Rhinolophus ferrumequinum: one gene and its partners. The protein of the gene in region 2 binds, or shares a complex with, the protein of the main gene of each other region. Links are inferred from orthologs where the notes say so. Each region holds a gene or a part of one and is shown on either strand. Other genes may lie near its edges. The genes, in order: MAPK8IP1, MAPK8 and DUSP16.

Region 1 (7,796 bases), on a different chromosome or scaffold from region 2:
AGTCTATTAAGTGTGCAATAGCATTAGGTCTAAAAAAACCCAATGTACATACCTTAATTTAAAAATACTTTATTGCTAGAAAATGCTAACCATCATCTGAGCCTTCAGTGGGCTGTAATCTTTTTGCTAGTGGAGGGTCTTACCTTCAATTTGTAAAAAACGCAACATCTGTGAAGTGCAATAAAATGAGATATGCCTGTAATGAACATGTATCAGTTTAATACTAAAATTTCAAAATTATTTTGTCAGTTACAGAAGTAACCTATACTTATTGTAGAAATAAGAGTACAGAAGTATGTACAGTAAGTGAAAACCCCTCCCCCATACCATATCCACAGGCAACTATTAGTAACTGGTTGGGGCATTTCTATAATCAGAACAAAGAAGGACACATATTATTTAAACCAACTATCCACAAACAAACGTTCCCCACCCTTGCAGGTCCACATCGTGCTCACCCCCTCCACCACCTCACCTCTCTCCCAATATTCCAGGGCACTCTCTGAACTCAGACTGCCTGGGTTCCAACCCAGCTCTGCTACTTATCTAACCTCTTTATGCCTCCGTTTCTTCATCTGCTAAGTGGGCTTACAATAAGAATAATACTCTGTTTATATAGTCCTGGTAGGAACTCTTGCACAGAAAGTGCTCAGAATGGTGTCTGGGCAAAGTGAGCCGCTCCCACGTGTCAGGGCGTACCACTGGGCTCTCTGGCAATGCACTGTATTCTCTGTACTCTAGGAGGGTGGTGCCCAATTTTAAGCTTAATTAAATAGTAAACCAATAAGGCATTACTGAGCACCTACTCTGTGCTGGGCATTGGGCAAACCAAAGTTTAGATATTAACTCCTTACGCCTTTGAGAAGCTGACAGTGGTGCTGGGGCATGTGTAACACACACAGTAACAATAAGAACAACAACAACAATAACAACAACTGCATGAAGGCAGCGCTCCACAGCTCTTGGAACACTCAACATGTGTTGTCTCATCCAAGTCTAAGGACCGTCCTGCACAGCGGCCAAAGCTGGCATTATGGAGAAGAAACAGAGGCTCGGGGGTCGAGTGCCCAGTCTTGGGGCACACAGCTAAGAAGGCTAAGCCAGGAATCAAACCCAGGCCAGCTGGATCCACGACCCCACCAAAGAGCCACAAGAGAGCAGTAACTACCCAGGGTTAAACCAAACTGGGCCAAGGGCTCTGAGAGGCTGGACAAGGGAAAGGGCAGCGGGGGCGGCCACGTAGGGCTGGAGACACTGCTCTTATTATTCCCACGAGTGGGCTTTGTCTTCACAGCCAGGCCACCATGTCCCGGAGGGCTGGCCCACGCCTCAGCCTTGGTGTGCTGCCACCCTTGCCCACCTGGGCCAGGACTGGACACACTCACTGGCTGGTATCCACCCTGACAGCTCCTCTCGCTAAAGCGCCCATGCTAACCTGCCTGCCTGCCTGTGAGCACTGGTACCTGGGGATCAGGAGCCAGGTGAGGGGAGGTAAAGCTGTCCTCCGGGCCAGGGGCAGGGCCTGGAGGTAGAATGGACTGAACACGCACCGTAGCTGTAGGTTCCAGTCCAGCCTCAGGCTCTAACTTCCTCTGGGTCCTTGGGCAAGCCACCTGCCTCCCTGAATCTCAATGTCTTCATCTACAAAATGGGCAGACTGATCCCCACACCCGGGGTGGTTATGAGGGCTAGGTGAGCCGGCACTGGGAAATGCTTTGAACAGTGAGGAGCTATACACAAGCCTGCTAGCATAGAGGGCGGGCTGACACTTGGTAAGCACCGACGTGATATAAATTAAGGAATCAATATTCATTAGCTCACCTAACATGTGGCACTCAGAGAAGATAAAACCCTGCCCAGGTCATGCAGCTAGAAAGTGGTGGAGCTAGGATTTGAACCCAGGTCCTTCTAAGCTCAGTGCCCTCCCACTGCAGAGGGTCCTCCTGGTAGGAAGGCAGTGTTTGCACAGAGGCAGTGTGTGATGCCAAGTGGAGTCACTCTCAGACCTCAGGCTTCTTACTCAGGCACTAACCACAGAGGCCCCAGCATTCAAACCTCCTCCATCTGGTCCCCTCCTTCTGGTGTTTTCCGGGCTCAGCTCAGGGCCTCAGGGGAGGTTTCTAATCCTGATGATGCCATTAGAGACCCACAAAGGTCCCTGCCCACCTGAGGACCAGGGAACCAGCAACCTCTTGGTCAGAAGAGGGGCTGGCGCCAGAGACCAGCTGGGGCCTGGCTGAGGTGGGGGCCCCAGGAGACGGGAGGGCGCCAGCTCATTAGATGGAGAAACAATGGGGTACATCGAGGCCTACTTCTTCCAAGGCTCTGGAGCAGTTACACCTCCTCTTCCTTCCACCTGGGGCCAGGATTCTGAGGAAGGGACATCAACCCTTCCCCACAACACCTACTGTCCACTTCTCTGAAATTCACCTCCCAATTGCCTAACCCCAGCTAGGAGGCAGGGAGAGGGGTGAAGGGAAGCTCAGATTAGGGTCCTGGGAACTACTCCTGCAGGGACCCCCCCCAATATTCCTGGTTACTTCTGGGTGTCCAAACCAGACACCCCGTCCCACAGCCACGTCTAGAATCTCTGGGTTGAGTCTGAACCTCCTGCACCTGCACACATCTGACAAGGTCAGGACTTGTCCAAATCCAGGTCTGGGAGTTAGGCCCCTCTGGTCAGGCAAGGCCCATGACTCCCTCCTTCCTGCACCAAGGTTGTCCGTTGCCCCAAGAAACTGGCACCCATTTCTATTCAGAAGCCTTCGGACTGGGCACAGGCAAAGCCAGCCTACCTGCCTCCTTTGGGATCTCAACCCAGATTGCAGCCCTCCTCCAATTGCAGCTCAGAGTCTCCTAGCCTAGGTCATGGAATGGCGGAGGGAACCGCACCACGGATATGCAGAGGCTATCAGTTTAGACTTGAAGCTGAGGGAGGTTCTGGGGGCTCCGTCCAGGGAAGAGACTCCATCTCCATCCAGGCTGTCCCCTCGTTCCCGGGGTCTGGGGGGGTGGTGTGTGTGTGTGTGTGTGTTGCAGGCTGTGGGGAGAGGGAGCCTGAGCAGATCAGTCCCGGCTAAAGGGCGGGGCACCGCGGCCGGGGATTCTCACCTGAAATTGGGCGGCGACGCTATGTGCAGCCCCAGGAACGGGGAGGCGGCAGGCGGGGACGCGGCCCCCCCGCCCAGGCCGCCGCTCTCTCGCTCCGCCATTCTCGCGCACAGCCCTGGCCATCCGGGCGGAGCGCGGTGCGGAGGCAGCGGCGAAGGCGGCGGAGGCGGCCGAGGGGAAGGAGGTGGGGGCGTAGCAAGAGGCCTCCGCCGCCGCCGCCGCGGGGATCCTGCTGGGCGGGCGCGGCGGGCGCACCTGCGCAGGGCAGCGCGCGGCTCCGGACCGCACACCGCTCTCGGGACTGGCGCGAGCGCCACCGCGCGCGCCCCCGGGCCCTGCCTAGGGGTCTCGTGCGCCCCGCCCTCGCCCCGCCCCCGGGCCCGCGTGCCCCGCCCCTCGGCGCTCTCCGAGGTACTGAAGTCGCGGCCCCTGCCGCCCCTGGGTCCGGCCCAGCCCTGCCCTAACTCTTACACTGACTCCTCTCCCCTCGCCCCTCCCGCAAAGCCCTCCCAAGCCCCCCCCCCCATGTGGCCGTGCGAGCTCTGCCAGTTGGCGTGGGCTTAGCACCTGGGTGTCAGGTAACTAATGGCGGGCCCTTAGTTGGCCCTCCTCAGCAGACTAAGAAGGCGGACAGGAAGGGGAAGGTCGTGGAGGCTGGCATAGAAAGGGAAAGGGGGTTGGCAGTGGGCTCCTCGAAAGACACTGGGATCTGTGGGACACCCCAGCCTGACAGGTTTGGAGTCAGTTGGTGTGGCTTTGCGTTATGATGTACCCGTCCTAAGGTTTGGTTTTCTCACCTGTGAAATAGGGACAATAATGGTCCCTCACATGGTTGGTGTGAGGTTGAAACGTATCACAAATGTATTGTCACCGGACGCTGAGAACACTCCATCTCCTGCTGGGATCCAGGTTCACCCCGTCCAGTCCCATTACCTTGAGGGGACCCTTCCAAGGACTATCCCTAGAGCGTCTCCTCTCTAAAGATTGACTCAAGCCCTGCTTCAGCCCTAAACAGCTATTAATGGTTAACTGAACCCTTCCTCTTGGCTTCTGTTTCTGAGCTTCTCCTTTTTCATGTCAAGACTTTCCCAGATTTGTCCCTCTTCTCACTTATCCCTCAACTGCATTTCCTGAAGAGGAAACGTGCACCCAGACATCCAGAGCTGGCCTCTCATATTCTAAGACAGGGCCTTTCCTTCTGCCCCAGCTGTGGTTTCTTCCTGGCCTTCTCTTCCCTAAGAAGGCTAAGCCTGTGAGTTCTTTGAAAGCCTGGACTGCTGGACATGCAGGCTGCTGGTCAAGGTTAGGGCCCCAGCTTTGGTGGGTCATAGAGCCTCTGACCAAACATCACTGGCTTTTCTGGCCACCTGGGAGAATCACACAGGTCCTGCCCTTCACCTCTCTCTGAAGCAGCAGCAGAGCAAACTGCTTCACAGCTTATGGAACCTTATTTGCAAAGCTGGACTGCCAGCTGGTCAAGCCACCCCCTTTACCTTCAGTGTAGCATATGGAAAGGAGCTGCAGGTAGCAGGTCTGCAGTGAACAACCCCCAGCCCCAGCCATGAGAACGTCCCAATACCTAGAGCCAAAGGCCTTGGCTGCCTTTCTTCTCCCTGCCTAGACGGGTGGCCACTGTATCTTCCCTGCTATCTTGGCTCAGTCTCCTTTCACTACGCCTGAACAGTAACCACCTGCTGTTATGGTGCCTGGATTCCCAGGAAAGCAGTCCTGCCATAGTGGCTAATAATTGTACCTTAGTGTGGAGAGTGTGTTTGTCTTAACTAGGGAGTGTCCTCAGGTCAGGGGTGTGTGTGTGTGGGGGGGACAACTCCATCCTCCAGGACCTTTTGCTCAAGAACAAAGGTATCTCAGCTCTCCTAAGGCCAAGCCAAAGCCACATTAGAGAGCAGCCCGGAGAAAGGAGAAAGGGAAGGGCGGGACCAGATCTTGGTGGGAAAGGGGCCACCAGGAGCTTCAAAGCAGAGCCAAGAATGAGACGAGTTCCAGGGTCAAGTTCCTCCCTTTTCCCCTTTCTCACTCTATGCAGGGCAGAGTGTGATATTCTTGGGCCTTGCCTGAGCCCCCTCCCACAGGAAGTTGGGGTACGGCTAACAAGGCTCTAACTTCCAGTGGTCTAAGGCTGGACACCTTCACAGGAAAGCCCACGCACTGTGCGCAGAGAAGGGTCACTCTCTGGCCAGATGGCATGAGACAAGGTCAGCATCCAGGCCCTGGGCTTGGCTGTGGTCCCATCTGGACCACCTAGCCAGAGCCAGAAGGCTTGGACCCCTTCCGCACCACAGCTGCAGCTTAAGTGGCTGAGTTGAGGTAAAGGATGGATGGAAGGCCCGGAGAAGGCCTGCCCCTGACTGATCCCCAGCCTGGGGGTCTACGTGGGCCACAGGCTGGGTCTCTGCCGAATAGCACTCATGACCCTCCTCCAGTGCCTGGAATGCGCTATACAATTCTGGCTGATTGACCTCCAACTCTGACAAAGATGGGGAGCTCCGGATGCTCACCTAGGAGCCTCCCCCTTCCTCCATCTCTCCCCACCCCGCTCACCCCCGTGACCTCCAGGAGGGGCAAGAGGCTCCTGGTTCCAGCAGAGGCAAGAGGGTCCGGCCTAAGGCTTCATTCAGGCTCACCCTTACTGATGCCCACCCCCCAGACCTCCCACAAGACTGACGACAGCACAGCTTTGCTCATCCAGGATCAGACATTTATGAAACAAGTGAATATTCACAAACTGTGGGAGAAACACACCTTCCCAGCAATAGAAAATCTCTGTATAAAGTGCATTTTGCCTGTGACCATCTCTTACCCATGCTGGCCCTTGGATCAGGATTTGGGGCAATGCTCTATGGCAGCCCCCAGACCCCTGGGCCAGGGGAGGGGAGGCACAAAGCCATGGTGGAGCTCTGGGCTACTGGATGCACCCTCTCCTCACCCCGCCCCTCCTAACTCCAGGAGTGGACCGCTCCATTCCACTGGGAATGGGCCAGCATGCCAGGGAGGGTGAAGCAGGGGTAGGTGGTCTGGCCAGCTTTTACCTTAGGGAAGAGAATCCCCACTCAATAGGCAGGGTAAGGGACTCATCCTGGTCTGAAGGGGCTGCTAACGAACACTGACGCTGGCCGGAGCCCTCTGGCCTTCTCAGTTTCTCAGACCAGCCCTTCCAGGCTTGCTCTACTCCCCTTCTGGCAATAGTCCCCAATTCTCTTTCTCCTGGCTGGGGCTAAGGGAACAAGGAAGTCCCCAACCCAATGCTTCGAATACACACCGTCACCTGTGCCCTGCTCCCCACACATAATTACGGGACATTTCTAGTGAGGGTGACAAACATACAACGGTTAAACTCTAAAGGCAGCTCTCTGGCTGAGAACACCTGAGGACCTCTCAGGAAGAAGCCTGTCAATGTGCTGGACAGCTGATGGAGACAGGGGCCTGACCCCAGGGTTCCGGTCTGAGGACAGGGGACAGTGGGGGACAGGGCTGGGGCCAAGGGAGTTAACAGCTAGAAGACTAGGAAAGGCCACAGGGAGGTAGAGGAGAAGGCCCTGAGGCCAGCTTAATGTTCCATGTGAGGACAAAACTCCAAAGAGGAAGTAGCCTCTCAGCTACGCGCGCATGTAGCACACACGCACGCGCACACACACACACACACACACACACACACACACTTTGTGGCTCAAGTGCAGGCCGCAGTGGAAGGAAGACTTCTGCAGCTGACCACACAGTCCTTTTCATTATGTCTTTCTCAACACGGGCCTTTGACAGTGGGAGGGTTGAGGTGGGAGGCATAGGCCACTCCTGGAATGTAAGGCCTTGACCTCTCCGGGTCAAACCTCCCACCTGCTACTTCTGGAAGGGTTGGTGTGCGGAGGGGTTCTTTACTTGGACCTTTCCCAACTGGCCCTGGCAGTCCTCACGAGTCCACCTGCCTGGGTCCTCGGTGCCTAGCTACTGGCAGAGCTGACATGGCAGCTTGGACGCTGAACATTCCTGGGCAGGCTCTGGACACCTGCAGAACAGACTAGAATGGCCTCCCTGGCTGGCTGTCAGCTGACCTCAATGGCAGCACTGTGGTGCCCTGGAGTATGGCCAGAAGAGCCAGGAACCTGGCCTCCTGCTGGTGGAGGCACTGGGTTGCCACAGTCAGCTCTGAGGCTGGCCCTCAGATTCTGCGGAATGAACAGTAGGAACTGGGATTTTATTCCCAACCTTAGGTTTTAAGCCCGAAAAGGTGGCTGTACTTCCTAAGCTATCTTCTACAGTACCGTGTATACAGGTACTGGTGTACTTCCGTACGTGGTGGAAAGTTCTCAGATCTGTCCACAGCCTCATGTTCTGATCCAGATGCCTAAGGAAGGGTCTGGTCGACCCAATGGCAGGGAATTTTTAAATAGGAAAGAAGCCAGGCCAGGTGACTGTGTCTGGATAGCATCCGTCCACTCCAGCCTGCTCAGCCTCCAGGGTCAGGAGGAACTCAGAAGGGCTCTGGCTGCCTTTAGAATCCTCTGGACAGGAGCCAGAAATGCTGCCCTCCTGCTCCTCCGTCTGATAAGAGGGAGGCAGGGAGGGCTGGGGGAGGGGCAGATGCCAGAATCCCAGCGAGGGCCCTACCACCTTTAGCCTGGGCCATAACCTCTAGCCTGGTGTCTGAACGCTGAGGTGAAGCTGCTACA
Region 2 (8,091 bases):
TCCAAGTGGCCTTTCTCCCAGGACCTATAGAAGTATGAAACATGGGTTCCTACTCTGCCAGGACACTTAAAGTGAACCATTTTCAATCTCATTAATGGAATGTACTTACTAACAGAATTAATGCTATCTCTTCCTTTTAACATAATTTAGAATGGAATGGGAGACTAGGGCTAGTGAGTACGGGGATTTCTTCTTGGAGTGACGAAAACGTTCCGGAATTAGTGGTTATCAATGCATAACTTTATGAATATGTTAAAAACCATGATGCACACTCTAAAAGGGTAAATTTTATGGTATGTAAATTATATCTCAATAATGCTGGTAGTCTTAAAATCAAAATTTAGAAAACAAAACAAAAAAGCTCTGGTTTGACAAAGAGCCCGACAGTGAGCTACTGCCAAAGGATTTGTATCAATAACACTTACTGGAATCGGACATACCTTAATTAGGAAAAGCAATAAAAGTTTCGTATCTTAAGATTTTCATCGCTTATTCTATAAAATATAATTTTCTTATTTCTTGATTTGTTCCATACATCAGATAATAAGTTCACTCCTAATTCTTTCAAATCCAAAACAAATTCTAAAATTTATTACATAGTGAATGTAAAAGAGATATAACTTGGACAAACTGATATTATTTTGAGTTTTAGGCCCATATGCTCCACCAATAGTATTTAAAATAAAGGAAGATTTAAAATAAAACATTTCCAACAAACATTTCTAAAATGTTATTAGAAATTAAACATTTCTAATAAAATTTTGATGCAACCTATTTCCTTTGTTCTACCTTTTCCACTTAAAGGAGTCATCAGAAACTTTTCAAATGATATTCTCAGAAGGATAAATGCAACCATTTTAGACCTCTATTGAAATATCACTGTGTGTGTGTGTGTGTGTGTGCGCGCGCGCGCGTGCGCGTGCGCGCGCTTGTGTGTGTACACACACGCGCGAGCGATATATACACAGGGTTTCCAGGTGGGAATTCCCACCCGTTCTCAGGAATTTTTTTTGCTTTCTCATTCCCGAATTCTGAGAAAAGTTGGTCGGGAAATCAGGAAAATCGGCTCCTTGAACCTAGGCGGTTGGCAGTATCGGTGTCACCGATTCATGGTGGAGAACAGAAACCAGTTTATATCTTGGGATTCTGGACCAGGGAAGCAAAAAAAAATTCCTGAGAACGGGAGGGAATTCCCACCTGGAAACCCTACATATACACAGATACACACATACATACACACATTTTAGACAAGGTTTTATTTTAGGATAGTGAATGGTTTAGCAGTGATAAAAACAAAACTGATACTGAAGTTATTCAAAAGCCACTACCGTCTTGACCTATATATGAACTAATCATTTAGCGATTTGGAAGTGATAGTTTGCATGAGGCTCCCAAAACTTTACAGAGAAAATTAAAATTTTTTAAGGCTTGATTTTAAATATTATCAGTTGTAAAGAGCTTTTCATCAATCTGACTTTTACTGAACACTTACTATATTCCAGGCTGGGTGCTGGAGACACAGATACAACATAGGTCTGTCCTTAAGTCCCATTTTGACTGCTTGCTTTTGTCAGGCACAGCACTAAATACGTTCACTTACAGCATCTGACCTCCTAGGCTTAACCCACAGCGAGGAAATCTGAGGTAAACATTAAAAATGACTGTAAGGCTATACAGCTGTAAGATTAAAAAATTAAATTTGAAAATGAATAAAAACTGTTGTACATTTAGATCAAACCTAGCTCTACTTCCTAATATAACATGCTACTAGAAGTTCCACATCTACTGCTAAAAAGTATTAAAATTACCCAGAGTATCAGTACTTTCTTTAACACACATCACTTATATAATCGCTTTATTTAAAGGTACATCTACTATATTTCAGTCAAAGCATTTTCTATCTTTAAAGGATATCTCTCTTTACCTTCAAACTCTTCATCAGGGTACACGACTGAACAGTTGCTGAATGAATGAATAAATGATAGAATGAATGAATGAAATAAACAGATGTTCTAATTGACAAGGAGGTACTTGTTAAAACACAATGGACTGACAGAACAGAATTCTACTGGAAAGATCATTGAATTTCAGAGGTAAAAATAGTAACCACTGGACATTGTCTGATACCATGCAGTCAACATGTTATTAAGTTCACAGTAAACATCTGATGGGGAACTTCCAGAAATTAAAATGAAAAGTGTTCATTGCAATACTTTAAAACGGACTTGGATCCGCCATCTAATAATTGGAAACATTAAGTGAAAGACAAAGAGATGAGAGGGTGGGATGAAAAAGTCAAAAGGTCACCATCGAGTGACCCTCATGAGAAATGCGCGCTGACCACCGTAGCTCGCGCGGAGCTGGATGGACACCTCCCGCTCAAACCACGGGCCGGGGCTGCCCCTCGCAGCCCAGAGCTGAAGGCCACCCCAGCCTTTCCTCGGCGGCGCTGCCTGTGTTCGCCCTGAACGTTAGCACAAAGAAACCACCGAGAAACAAAACACGGTCTCCGTGGAGGACAGGCAGGCGTTGGGACCCGGTGACCTGAACGCTCTCCGCGACTGCCCACCGCCGGCGGAGGCAGCCAGGGCGCGGCGGGCCGCCAACGCGCCTCGGTCCCGACCTTCGCCGAAGTGTTTCAGAACTTGCCACCCACCCCCGCTCCTTTTCCCCTCCAGACGTGGACACGAGACCTGCGCGAGGACAGACGGGCGGAGCTGGGGCGGCGGAGCCGGGGGCGAACCGCCAGGGCGCGCCAGGGTCCCGCAGCCCCACGCCCCCTGGCCCGCCCCGCCTCCCCGGCCGCTATTGTTCCCGCGCGGCCCCCGCTCGCCGCGCGTCCCCCGCGCGCTCCCGCTCCCACTCCCCGGAGGGGGTCACGGCTGAGAGGAAGGCGTCGGCACAATAACATAAACACGGCGGGGCCGCCGGCCGACCTGGTCCCCCGGCGCCCGCCGCACTCACCCGGCAGCGCACCGAACGGCGACAGGAAAGCCCGCCGGCGGGGACCGGTGCCGTCCGGGCGGTCGCAGCGGCCGTTACCCAGCGTTGCTCGCGGCTCTGCGATCCCGGCCGCGTCGTCCGGCCTCGGCCGCTCCGCTGAGTAACAGGGACGCGGGCCGTCACCGCGCACGCCCGCTCACGTCATCGCGCAGGGCACCGCCCCTGCGCCATGCGAGCAGCCGCGGGGCGGGGCAGCCCCGGGGCCCGGATTGCGGGGGCGGGGCCCGCAGTCTGGGGGCGGGGCTACCCTAGGGGGCCGGGAGGATTAGCGGAGGTCGCCTGAAGGAGGAGCTGCCGGAGAGCCTCTGAGAGCGTCGAGTGAGGGGCGTGGCGGGGAACCGTAGGGGGCGGAGCCCTGATCCTGGCACGTGGCGGCGCGTGGCCAGGCCGCTCAGCAACGGGCCTGGGGCGGTACGCTAGTCTGAGCCCAATCCTTTGGGGCTCTTCTCCCCAGGATTTGGAGGTCAGATGTGCTTAGACCAAACCGGCTGGTGGAGCAGGCACACATGTAAGAGATGAAGAGCTCATTGCCTTGACAGACAATATATTACATTGTAAGGACAACTGCCCCGGGCCCAGCACCCCACAAGCAAATAAATGTTCTCCTCAGCCATCTGAAAAAGCTGCCCCCTATTTTCCTAAAGTCCACCTTCTACCAGATTCCGTGCACTACCCTATTTGTCTCTGGGCCCCACAAAGCGAGTGTACGTTAGTTATCGAAATAACAGACAAGCTTTTAAATATCCAACAATGGGTGGAAATCTGTTCAAATGACACACACCCATGCAATAGAATGCATTTTAGCCATGTAAATGTGATGTGTTCAAGGAATTGCTAAAAAGAAACTGTTCATAATAGATTAAGAGAAAGAAACAAGTCTATATTCATAAAATTATCCTACTTATATACTATGTATACATAGAAAAAACCTAGAAGGAAATCTGCCAAATTATTTTAACAGTAGTTCATCATTGAACTGTGGAATAAAAGGTGAATTGGTTCTCTTTTAAACTTTGGATATTTTTTTCATGGTTTCCAAATGGAACAGTTTATGTTAATAATCAGAAAAAAGTGTGTTATTTTAATGATGAATAAATAATGAACGTAAATATTTGTTGAATAAATTAGTGAATTCAGAGAGTATCTTCTCCCATGTCATGTTGGGCTGGCCTGTTTCCAGTGATTCTGAAGTGGAACATAAATGGAACATTGAATGGCCAATGAAAAGGATGAACCTGTGAAGGAGCTTCCAGGGAGGTAGAAGGAAAAAGAGAGTCAAGAAGAAAAGAGTGATCAATAACATCAAATATAAAAGGAGGCCTGGAAAAAAAAAAAAAAAAGGAGGCCTGAAATCCTGGTGTACTGAGATCTGGAAGTGGATTAGAATGGGCTAAGAAATGAATGGGACATGAGAAAACGGAGGCAGTGGAAATGGATGAATTAGGCAGTGAAAAAAGATGCCAGGATACTTTACATCTGATAGAAAGACTCTGTTGAGAGGGAGAGGTAGCATACAAGAAGCATGAGTGTAAGTTTCCTGGAGGAGTGTGTGTGGGGGAGGTGGGAGGGTATAATTGGACACCCAGGTGGAAGCATCAGCAAGTACTTCCTACTTCCCACCTGACAATGTTAAAGACCTGGAGGTGACAAAAGACAATATCATAGGGTCGTTGTGAAGTGAGTGGTGTTGCAGAACAGAGTTCCTGAGTTTTATGCCCAGTTCTGTAATGCTACTCACAGCCTCTCATTCAACAGGGAGAGTTTCTGAGTTAGCTTCAGCCTGCTACTGTCATCTCCCAATTACCTACATCTAGAACGGACATCCTGCGTGTTTATGTATGTATGTGTGCATGTGTATGATTCCAGAAAACATTCATTGCTTGTGATTGAATGTAATCATCTCTGATATTCTGCAAAGGCAAAATGCTTTTTGTAACCCAGATGTGGCTCTGGGCCTCCTTCTTCCTTCTCATGTCATAGTTCCTTGTTAACCTATTATGGTTCCCTGTGAGCCTTTTGGGTGCAGACTCAGAAAAAGAGGAAGAGCTAAGGAATTCAGGTTTATTTGCCTCTTATCCCAGGGGAGTTGTCTTGGGGAAAGCTGGTCCTTGGGTCTTTCTGAGGCTGGGATGGGGGAAGGCGGGAAGGGAACACTGTAGGCCCCTTAAACCCATTCTCTGCTGGAGCCCTGAGAGATGGTCAAGAAGAGGTCGCACCCTGTCCAGAGCACTTCCCTTGTCATTCTCTGCAGACCACACACACACTGAATTGCAGTGGAGTTGAGACTTTAGCTAAGGTCTCAGGTGCATCTCACACCCAGCTGTTCAAGGGTGCAGAAACCAAAATTTGAAACTTTATTTCACTTCCTAGTTTCTTGACCTCATTCCAAAGAAGGGGAGTCGGGGAGGGGGGCTTACTAAGGCCTGCTGAAGGGCATCTCCAAGGACACCTCTAACTTTCTGACCCCACTTTCACCACCCTCCTCCTTCAGCCTTGCTTTCAAGTCAACCCATCTGTTTTCCCAACCATGACCTTACAGTCTACTTCTGCATCCATAGGAGGAATAGGTTCAGCTCTTCAGTTAATCACCCTCTGACTCTGAGGTGCTCTTTAGGGCTTGTTCAAGGCAGAGCCTGCTGACTTCAGAGAGAGCAGCTCTGTCTCTGGTTGCATGAGTAGAGGAAAGATGAGTGCTCATGTTGTAAATTATCTTTTCAACTGCAAGAACGATGGCTTATTTCATCGGGAGTACAACAGAATCAAAAATGACCAGAGTTCCTCAGTCACACCTTGAACAAAAAAATGTGAAGGTAGAAGTGGGTGGCTCTCTGATTTGAACTTATAAGTAGTACCCCCTTCTTCGTTTGGGCTTCCTCCTTCTCCTTCACCCCCATATGCACACATGGCTTCCAGGTAAACACAAGAGAGAGACAAACCAACTAGTGAAGCCTATAGATTGAGTACACATGCATGTTTTCATGGGAAAAAAATGGTCAGCATTTATTCCTCTAAGATGGTCTCAAACTGTGGTCCCAGACCAGCAATGTCAGCATCACCTGGGAGCTTGCTGGAAATGCAGATTCTCAGAGTCATTTCAGACATCTGAATTAGAAGACTTGGGGTGGTGAGGGAGAGCACTCTGCATTTTAAGGAGCCCTGGAACTGTGGGTTCAGTTCCAAATCACTGCAATACAGTGATTTGTAATATTTTTGCTGGCGGAGGGTCTTAACCGCAGTTTATAAAAAACACAATACCTGTGAATCGCAATAAAGTGAAGTGCAATAAAAGGAGGTATGCCTGTATTTCTAATGAGCACTCAAGTTTGAGAGCCACTGCTCTAGGATGTGCCTCTCAAGTTGACCTGCTCGTTCAAATTAACTTGGGAATTCAACTCCCACAGCTGGACTCCACTTCTGGAGATCCTTCTTCAGTGGTCTGCGGTGGAACCCAGGATTCTGTAGCTTTTCCAAAACCCCTCAGGTGATTTTGATGTGCAGCCAAGATTGAGAGCCAGTGCCTTAAGAAATTCAGCATATTTTCTGTTCTTTAAAATCTCAGAGCAAACAGGACAGGACAACCTGCCCCTCACTATCTTTTGTGTTCAGGTTCTCTCTTAGGCCTTATTTTCATTGTTGGCTCTTTTATTCTAATGTTCTGCATTCACTTCTCACAGCTTAAGTATGTCTTTTCTCCATCCACACTCAGATATTAAAGATATTCAATATTTATCCACTGGAGAAAAAGACTAAAGGAATTGAGTGGGAAGGAAAGAATAAGTTGCTGAAGTTCTATAACTGATAAAAAAAACTCTTGTTGTTGTTTTAAATAAATATAGATTAGGAAGAAGGCTTTCTGTCAGACCTTTTAGCATAGACTCTCTGCACCATTTACAATTTCGAGCCTAGAATTTCTCCCAGCCCAGTGGAATTTTGCCATTTGCAATTCCTATACTGCAGAAGGTCTGTCCAGGCCCCGTGGTGGAGAGAAGACAGCACCCCATTCCTGGTCTCTCTCCCTTGGCAGCTTTAGGGATTATCCATCTCCATCTGCACCTCCACCTCCCTCTCCATCTCCACCTCTAGGGCTTCATCCTTCACCCTTCAGATATAAAACGAACTCATGCTAGACTGGCTGGAACTCTACAAATAACTCTTTGGCAGGGAAACCCCTGTAAATTCCCAACCTCTGCCAAAGTCCTCCCCCAATCCTCTCAGGAACACCCTCAACTTCCTTGCCCTCCATCTTTACATTCTACATGCCCAGGGACACCCAGCTCCCAGATACATCCATCCAAGTGCCTCTATTTCTCTACCTGGGTTGACAGGGGTTATAGAAAAATGTCCACAATTATGTTGTTTTGAATCCATGGCTTTCAATCTCAGTTGAGGACTACTTAAGAATCTTTGAAGGGGTGGCCAGTTAGCTCAGTTGGTTAGAGCATGGTGCTGATAACACCAAGGTTGCCGGTTCGATCCCCGCATGGGCCACTGTGGGCCCTCCTTAAAATAAACAAACAAAAAAAACAACTCACCATTTATTTACTCGCTGCTCTTAAACATCTTCCTTTGGATCTATAAGCTGTAGAATTATTTGGAGCTGGGAGAAATCGAGTACCTTGGCTAGTCTCCTCAGGGGTATTCTATTTCCGTGTAGTATTTTTTTTTCTTTTATGGTTAAGATCTCTGACGCTGAGCTCAGCTCTCGATATCTGGTTTTCTCTCTGGCTTGCCTCTTTGAGTCCTGTCCAGTCTCCCTCCCAGGGCTGCAGACCTCTGAAACAATGGTGAGATTCTGCTTTCCTGGTCCTGATGCCCCAACCTGCTGTGAGAGCACAGTGAGCCAAGTGTGTGAATTGGATGTCAGTTTGTGCGGTCCCACCTTCTCTTAATATGTGGGTGTGTGCCCCCACAAGGGGATCCCAATTGAATGGGTCCCATTTCCACATGTCATATCCTTTCTTGACAGACCTTGCTTGATTGCTTGGTGATAAAGAGGACCACATGCCATGGCCCTGCCTTTGAGAAAATGATATTTGGGACATCCTTATTGTTCCTGCTGATTCAAAGGGAAATTCTGCTCTCTGCTCT
Region 3 (7,856 bases), on a different chromosome or scaffold from region 2:
AAAATGAGAAATCACTAAGTACAGAAGTAATGAGGGAAAGTTTCATGGAGGCAGGGTTTAGGATAGACCTTAAACACTGGGAAGAATTTGGATAGGCAGAGAAGAGAAATTTTGACATTGTAGAAAAGAGAAATACCATAACCAAAGACAAGAAAAGTAGATGAGGTTTTAATGGAAAGCCAAGGTGGTCTAGAGGAGGAGTGGCACAAAAATGTGCATAGCAAGAATTAGTGGGAAATGAGATCACATGGATAAGATGAATTCATTAACAAACTTAGCAAACATGATTCAGTGCTGATTAGCTGTCAAGCAATAGGGCTCTTGCACATAATAATAATAATAATAGCTTACGCCTATTACAGCTTCCAGTGTGCCAGGCATATATTAAGCCCTTTACATATAGTATCTCATTTAATTATCACTACAGACCTAGGAGGTATGCACTGTTGTATCTCTACTTTACAGATGAAAAAGATGAAGCCCAGAGAGGTTCAGGAACTTGCTCCGGGTCACATAGTTATTGAGTGGAAAAGCCTGGATGTGAACCAAGGGAGTCAGTTCAAATGTGGGTTCTGAGTACAATGCTAACCTGCCTCCACACATATTTATCTCTTTACATCTTCATAAAATTCCCATGATATAGGTATTTGTATCCCCATTTTGCAAATGGGGATGTAAGGCTCCCAGAATCAGTAAATTGTGCAAGGTTCTGCTGAGAACAAAGCTAGAATCTGAAAGCAGGTCCAGTAATTCCAAGTTCATTAAACTTCCCCTTAAAATACAGCTGCCTGGCATATGGATTTTCTAGAATGGGATCAAATTAGGGAAAACTTTAAGAGCCTAATAAGGGCAAGAAGCCTATACCATAGGAATGGGGAAGACCTTCCGGGTTTCGAACAGATGTGACTTGATTAGTGAAGGTAGGTCTAGGTCTGGCATCGGCCTGGCACAGGGAATCCAATCAGGGAAAGAGTGGACACAGCACCAGATGATATTTGAGGTGAGCATGAGGGTGGGAGGGAGGGGCGGGAACAATGACCAGTATTTGAAGGAAAATCTGATTGTTCTTGGGGACCGAATGGCTAAGGGTACTAAAAGGAGATTAAATCAAAGCAGACTTTGCTTCTCCTCCAAATGACTTAATGGACTAGTAAGGGACTCAAAGGTTATAAGAGCAGCTGGTTTGTGGCAAAAAAATGAAGGTTGCTTTTGGACATGTTGCAATCTGTTTGGCAGAACAATGACTGGCACATTCCAGAGGAAATGGGCAGCACACGGTCAGGGGTGTGGGATCGGAGCTCAGGTAGAGAGCAGAGGCTGTCAGTTCTATCTGACAAAGAAGCTCTGCAGGATCACTGAAGGGGCAGACTAGTCCCATCCCAGGGAAAATAATTTTCTCACTGTGAGAATGAGCCAGGAGTCATCAGAGAACAAAAATGCAGTGTAACAAAAGAAAGCAGGCCCAAGGGCAAGCCACAGGTCTGGACAAGTGGTTAGGGCCAAGGCAGAGATAAAAATTAAAGAGACAGAGCAGCAAGTGTGATATCACCCATATCAAAGGAGAAATGACCACTGAATAATTTCCTGTCCTGTTTCTGGTATTTTTGGATGTTCTATTGCAGAAGTCAAACCCAGCTTAACCGTTCAGACCCTACAGTCTGAACCCTACAGAATAATCAAGAATCTTGGTAGCAGGGAACACACACTCTACATCAGGATAGGGAGAGAACTGAAGTAATCAAAAAATACTTCTCCACTGAACTGTATATTTAAAAATTGTCGCAATCGTAAAACTCATGTATATTGTACCACAGTTAAAAAAAAAAAAAAAAAAAGGAAGACCTCTCCCCTGAAAATATAAGTGTCTATGAATCCCACAAAAATCTCCAAAAGCCCATCGAACTTAGCATCTCTTGGACTTACCCCTTTTGGTCCAAGATCTTGGTTTCCTTCCCAAGTTGGTGGCTGTGCTGCTGAGGTGATAAAGGTACTTGAGGAGCCGGGGATGCCAAAGCTACCTGGCTGGCATGTCCTTTCCAATCTGGAAAGAGAATGGGGTAGTCAATTGAGGCTAATGTGCAGCGGAAACTCCTCTTCTGGCCTTTCTGCTACCTCTGTCCTTTTTCCAGAACATTGAGAATGTGATCCATTGGTCATAGCCCCACCCTCTGTGACCTCTTCTGCCTGACCGAGTTAAGAATGAGACACAGAACAACTCAGCCAGTACCTGGGAGGGACTAACCTGGGGCAGGAACCTGGGAGTCCTGTGATTTCAGTTCTTGCTTATTGCTCTTCACAAACATCCTTTTAAGGTTCTAGGGTACTTCTAACTGGCTTGATGGAGATCACCTCCCAGTCTATATACAATTCCTTTCCTGCACAGTATATAATTTGTTCCTAGGACAGGGCTCCTCCATAAACCAGGGGAGTCTAAAGGGACTCCGACACTCAAAAGTAGCTGAATGGGGTTCTTCCTCATTTTACAAGTGAGGAAACGGGCCCAGGGTTGTTGAGTGACTTACCCAAGGGCATACATACACCTGGTTACTGCAGAACAAGGACACACAGGCTTTCTGATCCACTCTCTAAATCTCTTTTAGCTAGACAAAGAGATTCCAGCTGAAATATTTGGAATTCTATTTTTATTTAAGTTTTGCTTTTCCCGTGATTGGTCTCTTACTGTCTCTTTCTCAGAAGATGTTTAAAATGCCTGAAAATGCCAGCTTAGGTATCCAGAAGAGAATGGTAGCAGCACTGATGGAGGGAGGAAGCTCGCTGGTTACCCACAAAACCATCACAGACTGCCTGTTATGCTGTGGCTAAAACTTGGATCCATGCCCTCCCTCAGCCAATGTACAGCAGAGCCTAGTAAGGGGGCCCCGTGAACTAGGGCTCTCTAGTCCTTTCTGTCATTGCCCTATGTTGACCTTGATCTCTGCCTCTGAAATCCTTGATTACCAATGTCAATAGTCAGCTAGTTGACTTGGGAGGGCCCCTCCATGGCTATGGCAAGAGAGAAGAACGACAGAACAGCTCACCGTAAACATGGGTATCAGGCAAACTTCAGGAAAAACTGGTTGCTCAAGCTTGCCACCTCAAGAGAAACAGTTTTGTGTAAAGCTTGACATGGTGCGAAATAGATGTACGTAAGTTTGTTCCATTGCCACACTCATCTGGGGAGGTATCTGTGGGTCACTTCAGCACATGGGAAGATCCGCCGTCCCCAAGATCATTTAAGCTGTAAAGTCAACCAGATTAAAATGGATTGTCTGTGTTCATCAAGCCTATGTATCTTTTCTATGGTCAGGTCCTGAAAATGTAGGAATTCGGGTTTAGCGCTTTCGAGTCCTAGTCATGCACTTACAAAATCATAGGCCTAGATGGTACTTGGAAGTCATCTAATCCAGCCCCTAATATTACAGATGAGGAAACAGAAGTTTCCCGTTATTATACTTCTAGTACACCGCTGACGAGTACACTCATTTCGTTACAACCAAAATTACACTGTTGGCTCCATGGAGAGGATGGTTAACCTAAAACCCATGGCATTTTTCATACAAACCACTGCTCAGCTGCATTTTCCCCATCCCAGGTTTATACCATTCATTTCCTAAAATTTTGTTTAGGGGTTTACATTTTCCCTTTCATTCCATTTTGCTAGTTTTAACTTCATATTCCAGTCTATAATTTGAATTGTGTTTGTCTTAAGCTTTTTAAGTGTGCTGGGGAAGGGGAAGATCGTAGCTAATGTGCACTTTGCAGTGTGCTTGCTAGCGCCTATTTAATAGCTCACCTGTTCTAAATAAAACTATAAAGAGCATTTAATTTGGAATTCCCTGGCCTAGTTTTTCAGATCCTTAAGGGAGGTGGCTAACTTTTCCGCCTTGGTATATATGCAGGAGCTCTAGAATGGGCTGAAGAATATTCTCAGAGCTTGTCTCATCCGCGGAACTTGGTGCCTGGGGTAATGTGGCGAAAGGCCACCCTCTAAATTGCAGAATCGAGAGGTTTTTTTATGTCCATTTTGATGTACCATTTAATTGTTTATTTTCCTTTAGCCATGAGAGCTAGAGGACTCAAGAGATTTAAGAGAGGGGAGGAAAGAAAGGAAGGATGTCCTAATCTCTTTTGTACTCAAAAAGATACGTGCTGTATGCAAAAGGAGAACCAACTTGAGTGAATTATTTGTGATGACTTTATATATTGTAAATAGCCAGAAACCTAGGCGTTACCTCTGACTTCTTCCTCTCCTTCATCCCCCACATCTAATAATAAGAATGGCTAACATTTATCAGGCACTTACTATGTGCCAGATACTGTGCTAAGATACTTGATAAGCCTGACTAATTTAATCCTCACAAGAACTATTATGATTTTACAGATGAGAAGACTGGCACTTTTAAGAAATTAAATTCCTTGCTTGCACTCTTATATCTAGGAATGGTGGGGCCAGATTCACACCCAGGTTATTGTGACTCCAGAGCCCAAAAGCTGACCCACCATAAGTTTAGTCCCCCGGTTCTCGGGGAAAGCCGCCAGACCATGATGTAGGTCTGATCCTTACAAATCATAGAAGAAAGGAAGGAAGGGAGGAAGGGTTGGTTGGAAGGTTGGTTGAGTGAAAGAATCTTTAATTGTAGTGCAGTTCTGAGAAAGTTCAGCAAAGCTGATGAAACATCTTGGAGCTGAAGTTGCTCATCCGAGCAGTCCCACGTTTCCCAGAGGTGGGCCTGCCTTAGTATCCTTCCCACACTTCGTCATGAAGCAGACTGGGGGAGGCATGACCGTAGCAAGGAGTAGTGACGGATTTCAGAGCACAGAGACTGGGATTATCAGCTGTAATCCTTTCTGAGAGATACATTTTCATTGCTGCCACATTCTGCTCCATTATCTCTTCAAACAAATCTGCTGAGTTTTTTCTTCAACAGATGTCTCTACTTACTGCCCTAGTTCAAGCCTCTGTCATTGCTCACCTAGGCAATTCCAATAATGCTTTTACTTACTTCCCTACTTCCAGTCTCCATACCCTTAAAATGATTTCCTGCAACACCACCAGGGTGATCTTTCTAATATGTCAATCCAACTATGTCATAACCCAGTGTAAGAAGATAGGTCAGTGGAGACTTCTTTTTGTCAATCTTAGAATCTGTATGATGATCCTCGAGCATATCAATGACAAGAATCACACCAGCTTTCATTGATTAGGTTAATTTCAAAATTGCCTTATATTCTTTTTGGTGAGGTCATCATGATTTACCATATGTCATTCATCTGCTTAAAAACCCTTCAAATGTCTGTAAGATGAAACCCAAACTTTTGCTCATGGTACACCAGCACCCCCAGGACCCGGCCACTCCCTACTTCTCCAACATCATCCGTGCCACTCCGGGTATTTAATACTCCAGTGATATCTCAGTAATGAATTATTTGTAGGTCCTGCTGTGCTATATCATATCTCCATGCCTTTGTGTATACTCTTCCCTCTACCTGGAATGCTATTTTCTCTTCTCCTCCCCCTTATGTGCCTATTTGAATCCCATTCTAGGTTGCCTCAGCTGCCACCTCCTTGGGGAAGCTTTCCATGATTCATACACACCCCAATTCAAAGATCATTTAGTCTAGTCTCTAGCCCAATTCAGAAAGTCTATCGAAGGCACCCAGGCGGGAGGTCATCAAAGGAAAAGCGCATGACTTCACCAGACAACTGGTGTTAGGCTGTGCTCATGGTCACATAAACCAGTCAAAGCCATTTCTTATTGTTTTTCACGTGGAAATCTATCAGTTCCTGTTTACCCAGTTTTTCTGTGGATGGTGGTGAAAATAGCAACCATCAGAAGATTCCAGGTGAATGGAGAGTTAGAAGTTGGGAGCCTAACTAAGAAATTCCCTGGGCAGGTCCTATAGAGGCAATGCTACCTTTGAACTTTCAGATCTTGGGGGTTGGGGCAGGGAGCAGGATGGTGGTGTTCAGATGAGGAGGAGGGACAGAGCTTACCAACAGGCCATTGGTCATTTCCTTCTGGTTGTAGCTCCTGAGCTTTATGGATCTTCTTTTCTGAATCCCTGACCTGTGACTCACAGATGTTGCAAGAAAACTTCAGAATGCCTGTGGACTTCAAGAAGCGGGAGGCACGGTCAGAGGGAGGATTGAGCCTATGGGAAACCACATAAAGGTTAGACTTTTGTGACAGTGACTGTAGTTACTATGATTCCACATGTTTCCTTAGTGCTTTTTGATAAATCTGTATTTTTCCAAGACTGAAAAGTTGCATCTCTAACTAACTACATGGATGAGAGATATGTGGTAAGGAGAAAAAGATAGTGAACAAAGACTGATTCTGGAACCCTGTACTTACTGGGAGTGTGGGATCAGAAGCATGATGAACATGAGCTTTTTTTATCCATATTCTAGCACAGGCCTCGTGTTTCCAATCTTCAATAGGCACTGCCTGTTTTTGTGCATTTTAGAGGGTTCAGTATGGTAAACACTGGTGCATTCTCAAGTAGTTTTCAGCCAAAAGTTTAATTTGGGGAAGGAATACATATGAACAAATCAGAAAAAAAATAGATATGATCAATGTTGTTTACGCTACAATATTAGAAATGAAAACAATAATAAAAACCATACTGGGTATTAGGAATCACGAAATTATCTTACCAGCCATTGTTACCCTGTACAAACAGAGCATACAATTATATTTTTTATTGACAGTTGAGTATAGACCATCTGGAAATATAAACATGAGAACAGAATTATGAAAGGAAATTAGTTCCGTTGGATTTTTTAAATTTGAATTTTATTTTTTAAAGACTTTATTTTTCTAGAGTGGTTTTAAATTTACAATAAAATTGAAAGGGAGGTACAGAGGTTTCCCATATGTCCCCACCCCCACATACACACAGCCTCCCCCATGATGAACATTACTCACTAGAATGGTACTTTTTTTTCTTTTCACCAAGGATGAACCTACATTAAACATCATAATCACCTAATGTCTATACTTTACCTGAGAGTCCACTCTTGGTACTGTACTTTCTATGAGTTTGGACATATATTCATCATTATAATATCATTAGGAGTATTTTCACTGTCTGATAAAAATCTAAAGCCATTAGATTTTTTAAATGTTTTCTAAAGCTACACTAATTAAAACATTTGGTATAGTACTAAAATAGATAGATCAATGGGAAAAGGTGGACCATCCAGAAATGGGCCCAAGTACAAACAAAATAAGTTTAAAGGAGCATTCCAAGTCAGTAAAAAAAAATATTGAATAAATAGTGTTGGGATAAGTGGTTAGTCTTTTAGAAAAAAATAGAAGTAGAGCTCTATTTTTCTCTGCACATCAAAAATAAATCTGACAAAAGACTTAAATTTAAGGTAGACAAAAGACTTAAATATAAAAATCAAATCATAAATTACTAGAATAAAACAATGTATTTTTGTATAATTTTGTCATGGAAAAGGCTTTTTCTAAATATGAAATAAAATCCAGAAGACATAAAGAAAAGATTAATAAGTATAACTATAGTTTGCTCTTGATTAACTTGGGGGTTAGGGGTGTCATGCAATCGAAAATCTGCATATAACTTGACTCCCAAAAAACTTAATTGTTCCTTGGTATCCATGAGGGATTGGTTCCAGGACCCCCACGGATACCAAAATCTGCAGATACTCAAGTCCCTTACATAAAAGGCACAGATAAATGCATAATCTGCCCCCCACATCTACGAATTCCCAACTAAGGATCAAAAACAGTACAAGTAGTTACTCATTATAGGTTATTATTCACCTTGCAAAATGGACATATTCAGCGAAGGTGAAAATGAAAGTCTTCTCTAGAGTGAATTCCATG

What was found.
Region 1: the proteins of MAPK8 (region 2) and MAPK8IP1 are in contact, whole or in part, in a crystal structure (PDB 3VUM), measured with the Homo sapiens proteins. The link is inferred for Rhinolophus ferrumequinum from reciprocal best matches to the Homo sapiens genes MAPK8 and MAPK8IP1. Residues at the interface, in NP_001310257.1 of Homo sapiens: Lys83, Asp112, Ala113, Gln117, Val118, Met121, Leu123, Glu126, Arg127, Tyr130, Tyr133, Val159, Lys160, Ser161, Asp162, His286, Val323, Trp324, Asp326, Glu329; in NP_005447.1 of Homo sapiens: Arg157, Pro158, Lys159, Arg160, Pro161, Thr162, Thr163, Leu164, Asn165, Leu166.
Region 3: the proteins of MAPK8 (region 2) and DUSP16 are in contact, whole or in part, in a crystal structure (PDB 4YR8), measured with the Homo sapiens proteins. The link is inferred for Rhinolophus ferrumequinum from reciprocal best matches to the Homo sapiens genes MAPK8 and DUSP16. Residues at the interface, in NP_001310257.1 of Homo sapiens: Arg189, Val196, Ile197, Leu198, Gly199, Asp229, Ile231, Trp234, Gln253, Thr255, Val256, Thr258, Tyr259, Val260, Asn262, Arg263; in NP_085143.1 of Homo sapiens: Phe215, Leu267, Asp268, Tyr271, Lys275, Pro279, Ile281, Ser282, Pro283, Asn284, Phe285, Asn286, Leu288, Gly289, Gln290, Leu292, Asp293.

What each region holds. Positions count from the first base shown.
Region 1 is NC_046294.1:14,967,146-14,974,941, forward strand, and holds the start of MAPK8IP1 (C-Jun-amino-terminal kinase-interacting protein 1), read right to left. Parts: upstream 3,410-7,796; 5' UTR 3,213-3,409; coding exon 3,112-3,212; intron 1-3,111. UniProt on the Homo sapiens protein: The JNK-interacting protein (JIP) group of scaffold proteins selectively mediates JNK signaling by aggregating specific components of the MAPK cascade to form a functional JNK signaling module. Required for JNK activation in response to excitotoxic stress.
Region 2 is NC_046299.1:62,953,091-62,961,181, reverse strand, and holds the start of MAPK8 (mitogen-activated protein kinase 8), read right to left. Parts: upstream 3,133-8,091; 5' UTR 2,965-3,132; intron 1,509-2,964; exon of another isoform or gene 1,493-1,508; intron 1-1,492. UniProt on the Homo sapiens protein: Serine/threonine-protein kinase involved in various processes such as cell proliferation, differentiation, migration, transformation and programmed cell death.
Region 3 is NC_046293.1:27,377,628-27,385,483, forward strand, and holds the start of DUSP16 (dual specificity protein phosphatase 16), read right to left. Parts: upstream 3,229-7,856; 5' UTR 1,924-3,228; intron 1-1,923. UniProt on the Homo sapiens protein: Dual specificity protein phosphatase involved in the inactivation of MAP kinases. Dephosphorylates MAPK10 bound to ARRB2.